2 linked regions of the Arabidopsis thaliana genome follow. The protein of the gene in region 1 interacts with the protein of each later gene in a pairwise test. Each region holds a gene or a part of one and is shown on either strand. Other genes may lie near its edges.

What was found. Proteins that work in one complex are often made in the same cells at the same time.
Region 2: the proteins of AT2G30120 (region 1) and BIM1 interact in binary tests that used the Arabidopsis thaliana proteins (3 or more experiments, as listed by UniProt).

The regions. Positions count from the first base shown.
Region 1 is NC_003071.7:12,860,304-12,864,402, reverse strand, and holds the start of AT2G30120 (protein FLC EXPRESSOR), read left to right. Parts: upstream 1-2,431; 5' UTR 2,432-2,540; coding exon 2,541-3,067; coding exon of another isoform or gene 3,068-3,071; exon of another isoform or gene 3,072-3,184; coding exon of another isoform or gene 3,185-3,197; exon of another isoform or gene 3,198-3,202; coding exon 3,203-3,378; intron 3,379-3,464; coding exon 3,465-3,556; coding exon of another isoform or gene 3,557-3,574; exon of another isoform or gene 3,575-3,724; coding exon of another isoform or gene 3,725-3,796; exon of another isoform or gene 3,797-3,913; coding exon 3,914-4,003; 3' UTR 4,004-4,099. UniProt on the Arabidopsis thaliana protein: Transactivator required for FRIGIDA-mediated activation of FLC and for the expression of the repressors of flowering AGL27/MAF1 and AGL31/MAF2. Does not alter expression of known activators of FLC expression.
Region 2 is NC_003076.8:2,608,193-2,612,291, forward strand, and holds the start of BIM1 (basic helix-loop-helix (bHLH) DNA-binding superfamily protein), read right to left. Parts: upstream 2,059-4,099; 5' UTR 1,903-2,058; exon of another isoform or gene 1,723-1,902; 5' UTR 1,380-1,722; coding exon 1,343-1,379; intron 1,212-1,342; coding exon 1,110-1,211; intron 694-1,109; coding exon 292-693; intron 191-291; coding exon 88-190; intron 4-87; coding exon 1-3. UniProt on the Arabidopsis thaliana protein: Positive brassinosteroid-signaling protein. Transcription factor that bind specifically to the DNA sequence 5'-CANNTG-3'(E box). Can bind individually to the promoter as a homodimer or synergistically as a heterodimer with BZR2/BES1.

The sequences.
Region 1 (4,099 bases):
TGATTCTTAATAATATATCAAATTCATGTGATGCATCTAAGGAATGTTTTTAACCCCAAAATAGCGGGGACATGCATGAAAAAACCATTTGACTAGCTTGTGACCATCGCCCACAATAATCTCTACAAACTTATTCGCTTGATGACAAGCATAATGTTTCACATATTTTATGTATATATTAATTAATGAGTAGTTTTATTCACAAAATTATCAACTTGGGTGTGTAGCTAGGCCCCCACAATTAATGTATGATGCATCAGATTTATCTAGAATTGTCTTACTGCCCCTCCAAATCGATATCATATCAAGTTGTATTAAAAAAGAACATGCATCTCAAGATTAGTTTAATTCATTATATTTAAAGTAGTTCAACCTAAGTGACTAAATCACAATCAACCCCTAACGTAACTAAGTCTACAAATTAAACCAACAGTCAACTACATCTTTTTTTTTTTTGGGTTGTAAGTTTAAATTTACTAATCAACAAAATAAATGATTATATAAAAAAGAACTACAATTTAATATTTATGATCAGCATATTTTTTCTAATGAATTTTTAAATAGTTGAATGACCAAATTTCGATATATCTACCAACATCGTCAATTGATGATTTTTTTTATAACTAATTTTCAGTGTTTTATTTCTAACTTTTACTCTATGTTTTTACGGTAAGATTAGAAGTGTCAAGACTTGGATATTATTTTGCTTTTTATTAGAATTAGTAAATATAAGGAAAACAGAAAGCTAAATTTTTTTAAAAAAAGCTAACTCGGTATTTCTTCTTCATTTTTGTAACAGAAAAACCCCACAAAATTTGTAACTATGCAAAGTCCGAGTGGAAATATAATTTGAGCTTAGGATCATTAAATCCCTATATAGTTAATTAGTACTAAAAGGAATTATAGAAAAGAAAATGACTCAGTTAATAGGACCACTCTAGAGGAAGAATAAATAGTTTAGGTGTTAATGGAGGGATATATTTTAGAATTAGAACTGTCACATTGGGAAGTGGTTCTTCTTGCTAATGTATTTTAGAATCATTCAAAAGAAAGAAGAACTAAATAATTCTCTAAACTAAACATTTAATCAAAATTTTAGAAGACAAAAAAAGAAGAAGAAGAGAGAACAGACATCTTTGGGCACCTCGGAGAAAAATAAGCATGTGAGACTCGATGCACATCATTAAATGCTTTGAGATGACATGGAAGATTCGGTTCTCGGTATTTGCTCTTTTGTTTCTATTTTATTTTCTTACCCAAAGAAAAAAATAAAATCTTTGGAAACGGTGGGGGAGGAGACAAGAAGCAATGTTTGACTGAGTTCAGTTAAAATTTATTGAAGTCTCTTTTGTGTTGAAGAGTTGGGACAAAAAAAAAAAAAAACTTTAAAGACCTGAGGGTTTGGTTTTTGCTTAAACTTTAGTTGAATGAGTGAAAGAAATGAGTTTCTGTTTATGTCGGAATTTAATAAGTCTGTAAGATTCTGTAAGAAACAAAAAGAAGCAATCTGAAACATCAGAGCTTCGTGCTAATCCGTAGACTTGGACTCTAGCTCTTGCCGCCTCGTCTTTTCTTATTTTACAGTTTTAACTCTACCTTCGATATCAATTAGCATATCATTGATTATCACTTTCTGTCAGTAAAAACTTGTATATCGTTAGAAAAAACACTAATAAATGTAATATTTGGCGATACAAAATTAGATTGTATAGGATTTTGTTTTTCTTTTTTTCAAAAATAAACTATTTATTAGAATTTCCAACTTAGACTATATAGTTTCATAATCAAATTTACGATTACTTTTTGTTTTCCATATGAATATGATTATATATTTAAGAATGTTAAAGAAGACTAATTTTTTCATTTATTCCGGTTTGTATATAAATAGGTTACCATTAGATATGTGTTATCTTGGAGTACTCTACAAATATTTTCTTTACCAATTGAATCATTTCAATCTAAAAAAATACTGAACTAATGTCATTGGTGCTATTTATAATTTGACATATAATTTTATTTAATTGTAAAATTTAAATTCTAATCTTTCTATACAAAATTTAAACAAAAATGTAATTAATCTCGTTTAATTGTAAAATCTAAATTCAAACTCTTATTTATAAACACATAATTTATATTTAAATTTTGTTTAATTAAAAGTAAATAGATTTTGAATATTTAAACTAATATGAATATTTTTAAGATGCACATACTTTTTTTTTTTTTTTGGTAAGGTTTAAGATGCACATACTTTCTCTAGGTATCTAGTAATTTATTCCTTCAACGTCTGAATCGGCCTCAAATTTTCTGATTTGGGCTTAGTTTGGTCCAAGTGGGCTTAATCAAGCATATCATAACTGTAGTTTGGGCTCATAACGTTTTTTTTTTTTTTTTTTTTTTGCGCTGCGCAGTTTAGCTTTTGATGGTACGGCTTATTTTAACAACGAACTCGGAATAAAAAAGCTTTTGACAGAGAGAACGACCATAATTCAATTAGGGAAGTACTTTCACAAACCGGAGAAGATTATCGGAGATCGCAAACTATGGCCGGACGAGATCGTTATATTCCATCATCAGCAGTTTCAACTTCATCATCTTCAAGATTATTAGAATCTCAATTAATCGAATCCGATCGAAATCGAGCTCGATCTGTAATCCTCGAGGATCGAATCGCAATCCAACACCGTGAAATCCAATCTCTTCTCAACGACAATCAACGATTAGCTGTAGCACACATCGGACTCAAAGACCAGCTCAATGTAGCTAAGCGTGAGCTCGAACGGTTACTTGAAACCGCTGTTAAAGTTAAAGCGGAAGGAGAAGCTAAAGTGCGTGAGGTTTATCAGAATGCGTTGAGAATGGAGGCGGAGGCTCGTGTGATTGATGGACTTGGAGCTGAGCTTGGTCAGGTTAGGTCTGATGTACAGAGGTTAGGTAGTGATAGACAGGAGTTAGCTACGGAATTGGCTATGTTTGATGATGAGATGGCTAAGGCTAAACCGAATTCGGATCGAGCTATTGAGGTTAAATTGGAGATTGAGATTCTTCGAGGAGAGATTCGTAAAGGAAGGTGAAAATTTGAATTCTCTTTGTTGTTTTTGTTGGAACATTGGATTTGTTATCTTGTAGTGTATACTCATATGATGGTTTTTTGGATGCTTATGGAGTAGTAATGAATTTGTTTGAGGTTTGGGATATGAAACAGGGCTGCTCTTGAGCTGGAGAAGAAGACACGAGCTAGTAACCTTCACCATGAGCGCGGTATGGAGAAGACTATCGATCATTTGAATCGAGAGATTGTAAAACTTGAGGAAGAATTGGTTGATCTGGAGACTAAAGCTAGAGAAGCAAATGCAGCTGCTGAGGCAGCTCCAACCCCAAGTAATTTCTCTGTCTTTTTTAGCTTTTTGCTTTACACAGTTTAACTGCAAAACCACCTTATAGTTTTGATGATTTGTTGATGTAAGGTCCTGGATTGGCTGCAAGTTATGGAAACAACACCGATGATATATATGGAGGTCAAGGCCGGCAATACCCGGAGGCTAATGGTACTCATGAGGTACACATGAGTCTATAGATAAGTAGTAACTTTACGTGATCATCTGTTAGAAGTTCTCCTAATTTAGCATTATTATGGAGAAGGAGAAGATTGGACTAATTGTTTGTAATGATTGGCATACCAAGTTCTGATTGTCTTACATTCTGAACTGATATCTTAGCAAAATAGCTAGTTCTCAGGGAAAAAAGTTATGTTCATAGGTTAGTAAGTGTCCAACTTGTACAAGTATCCGTTGGTTAGTGAGAATTGTTGTAAACTCATAATTGACTGAATTCAACGCTTATGATAAGATTGCGGTTTTACTTTAACATTGTTCGATTCTAGTAGTGTTTAACATCACACAAATATACACTTCAGGCATATAGAGCATCGGATTGTCTCTCTCAAGACCCATCTACTCCATTGCAGCATCCTCTGAATAATACTCAACATTCTAGTGTGTTGTGATAGTGTCTTGCTTACGTTTGAATAGGCCAGCCATATACTTGATTTGACAATTTTTGTTTTAGTGTATCTTATTTAGCGAGTGTATTCAACCAAATA
Region 2 (4,099 bases), on another chromosome or scaffold:
CCTCTGCAACCAAAGTAAAACTTTAGTTGATCACTCTTTAAAGTCCATAGACCGAGTTATATAAAAAAGAGAAGATATGAGACTAACTGAGAGGAAGAGAGAGAACTGAAACCGCTCATATGGTTGTTTGTCAAAGACTGGGACCGTCTCTCCGCCACTGGCCATTGTCCCACAGTTGCTGCAACATCAGCTACACATTCAAAAAAACTTATATTTCATCATTCCATTGATTTCTAAATACTACTTTAAAACTAGTCTAAATAAACATCACGATTCAAGTTTTCTTGTTACCTCTCATGTTTACTCTCTCCCCAACACTATTCTCCTTCCTTGTCTGTCCCTTCTTCCCAGAAGCAGATTCATCCCACAGAGTGAACCCGCTTGATGCAGCGGCGTACGAGCTGCAATTAGAGTTAGAATTCTCATCCAAAACGTTTCTCTCATTAGCATTGAACATCATTGGTGGTGACAACTCCGGCTTAGGAATTCTCTGATGATGATGATGGAAGTAAGGAATGGGGCTAATCGTATAAGTCCCTATACCACCGGGAAGCACGTGCTGCAACGGTGGAGGTGGAGCAGGGGGCGGTGGCTTCTCGGACGCTGTAGTGGTAGAGTTAATCCTACTTACGTCTTCTTTAGCACCAACACATTCTAACGGTTGAAGAAAATCATGGGTTTTCAAGTGACTACCTGCTTCACGTACCATCAAAATTAAAAACATAAACTATATGTTAGAGAAGTAAATCCCTAGATAATACACATTTTCTTATACATCAAGTTGTATGCATTTAAACGCTTATAGTAATTAACAACATTTTGTTATTTATGTGATGCAATTCTAGGGATCAACATCATGAGGGTTGAAAGATATTTATTTAATCGAAGGCAAGGTTTAACGACATGTGTAGACGAAAAAGAAAGAAAAAAACGGTCCCAAAATTCCATGGGCTTTAAACACAGATGGGCCCATTAGGACCCAACAAAATAGCAACATTTTGATCCATGATTCGTCTTAAAGTCAGATCAGATGCACGCGCGAAAAAAACGTGACCCCTTTTAAGAGAATCTTAAAGAAGAAAAAAGGGTAAAATGGTAAAAAAAAATACCTTGAGAAGAAGGTGGTGGTGTTGGCTTTGGATCTGGGTGGACGGTTGAATGACTGCAGAGCGATAAAAAATCATGTGTTGGTTTTCTCCCTGTGCGAAATTCTTCTTAATATATATATCAAAATTCAAAAAAATACATAAATTTAAAATTATGAATCTTGTAGAAACTAAACACTCTGTTTTAAAATAAAATAAAGGAATTGGTAACAATAATATCTGATAATGGTGTTTACCTTGGGTTTTGAAGGGACGAGGTTGAGGAAGCTCCATGAACGACAGAGCTTCGACGGTTTTTGAATTCTTTTTAAATTATTCTATTACTAATCTGTGCGCGGGAATTATCGCAAAAATTGGCTAGCAGCTCAGATCTGCGACTTGTAGCAGCTGATTCAAGAGATATTGTGGTTTTCGATGGTTGAAGAAGCGGAATTGAGCTCTGAAGTTGCTGAATTATGCTTTCTCTGTATCTTTTTACCGATAAAAATCCTCGAATTTGGTCAAATTCTGCTCGATTTAACCTAAATCAGCCTCCGCCGCAACTTTTCTCAGCGAATTCCACAGAATTCAAACGGGAGAATCGGCAGAAGTCACCAAATTCGTGGAATCGATAGATCTGTCATCAGAATTGGGTAGAAATTCAAGAGAATAACCATAATTCAGCGGAATTCATAGCTCAAACCAACTCAATTTCGCATAATTCAAGTCAACCAATGAACATGGAGATACAAAAACTAGAATCCAAGTCAAATCTCTAAAGAACACGAATGGATTAGATTTGAGCTAAGAAGCGTACCTTCTTCGACAGCAAATTACGTGAAGCTTTTGGCGTGTCAAGGTACTGTTGAAATTACGCCGACTACTATCATGCGTCGAAGTAAATGCAATCAAAAGGAAATCAGTTAACTAATTAAAATGGTAAGATATGTATGATTAATTAAGAATCTCATGTATCTGATATTCAAGTCATCGTACATTCTTCTATAGCCTAATACCACCAAACCTAAATGAACAGTGCGAAAAGGAAAAATAAAATAAAGAAGATTTTGTGTCTCCGTTTAGAAAATCATGCTTATAAAAACCTCCATGTAAATAATGTAATCAGACCACTGTATTACGTGGTCTATGTTCGTGTGTACTGAATGCGCATAACTAGACGACTTGTTTAATTGGTAAATTGGAAGGTAATTGGTAAGTTTGACAAAGATACGTACTACTAATTGATAGCTAGGCTTGGCTGCAAACAATTACCAATTTAATAGTAAATTTAGTAGTAGAAATTCTGCTATAGATGATGGAATATAGGGGGACAAGTATGATTTTGTTCGTACGTGTATGCGTCTATGTATTTGTGTGAGTGGAGATATATGTAATGTATGTGACATTAGGTGGAACAAAGACAGCTCTTCCGCCTTTAACAAATTGTCTAAAACCCATAGTTAAGAACCTGATCATGTGAGCTAAGCGCATTTTTATATTTAGTTGAATGCCACTTGTTACAAAATCACTAACTTATAAGTAAACCAAATAGACGACTTACAAATTACAGTACTTATTTTAAAAGTCTTGTTAGCATTTACTAAACTAACATATGTCTAGTACTGTATATAATTTGAATTATATATTCGAAAAAAGTCATCTCTTAAAACCAAAAATAAAATGATAAAATATCTTTAGTCCATTTGTATTCAAGCGAAAATAGTTATGGCTTTCAAGTTTTTGCAAGTACGTATATACTTGATTAAATTACTTAAGATTTTCAGTAGTTAAGAATTAAATTTACTTACGAGTAATATTTATTGCCCTCCCCTAATGCTTACAATCTAGTTAGTTTCTGAGTACTACATCTTTCCAGTAGTCATGAGTTTAATCTGAAGATAGAAATAATAAATTGAAAACAGAGATGGAGATGATAGTGAGAAAGGAACTATAGCTAAATAGTGTTGGATCACATGAAGTGAAAAATTGTACAAAATAGGGAAAGAGCAAAAACAATTACACATCCCCACATGCCTTCCACTTTGTCTCGTGAGTTGTTAGGTTGTGCTTAAACACGCTTTATTCTCTGTATTTTATATTAACCCCATGAATTGTATTATATTGATTTAAAATCACTCGCAATCTCGTGGTTCTTTGATGAAATGTATTATTGTTATTCGAGATTCGGTTTCTCTAGAGCACAAGTAATTGGTTAGATACATTAAAATCAAAAACAAAAAAGCAAATGGAATTGTTAAGATTTTTACACGTTTAGATGAGAAGAAAGAAAGAAATCAAGGAAAGTAAATAAAAACGAAATGGTCAATTCAAGTGAAAGGCGAATAAGAGGTTAGTGTGACGTCGTTTTCATGATGTAGTGGGACCACGTGAACTGACTCTGCAACTCACGTGAGAGAAACACTGTAGAAACATAAATAGATTTTCGAAAACATTAACATCAAGGGCAATTTAGTAACAATACTTCTTGACTAGAAACTTGGAAGGCTAAGGGTTTTAGTCGATCGAAGAAAGAAGGTTTCCATTCAGTCTCATAAACTGTTTATTGATATGCCACAAACCGACCTATCCTTAACCATTCGTGGTTCGGTTGGGCACATCATGTTCTTCCCGTCTTACGTAATTCAATCAATAAATAATCATTCAACTTGAGTTAGTTAACAAAATAAGAAGAAGCATATCAAGTAGGTTTCAACTTCAAAAGATTAAGATCAAAATAACTTATATAATACAAAACATATTTTCTTTAATTTCCTACGCATATTATAAAACATATCCATGGAATTAATTAGAATAATGTATAGGAGAAAATCATTCGCGGAGTCACAAGATTTCTTAAACATATTTTTACATATTTAATCCAATTTGAAGTAAATCAATGCGAGATCTCATCACAACTACTCACCAGGTTCATGCACACGCTAACAACTGTTTTAATATCAAGATTTGATAATATTTTAAGGGTGAACAATATTAAACATCTCTTTGCATATAAG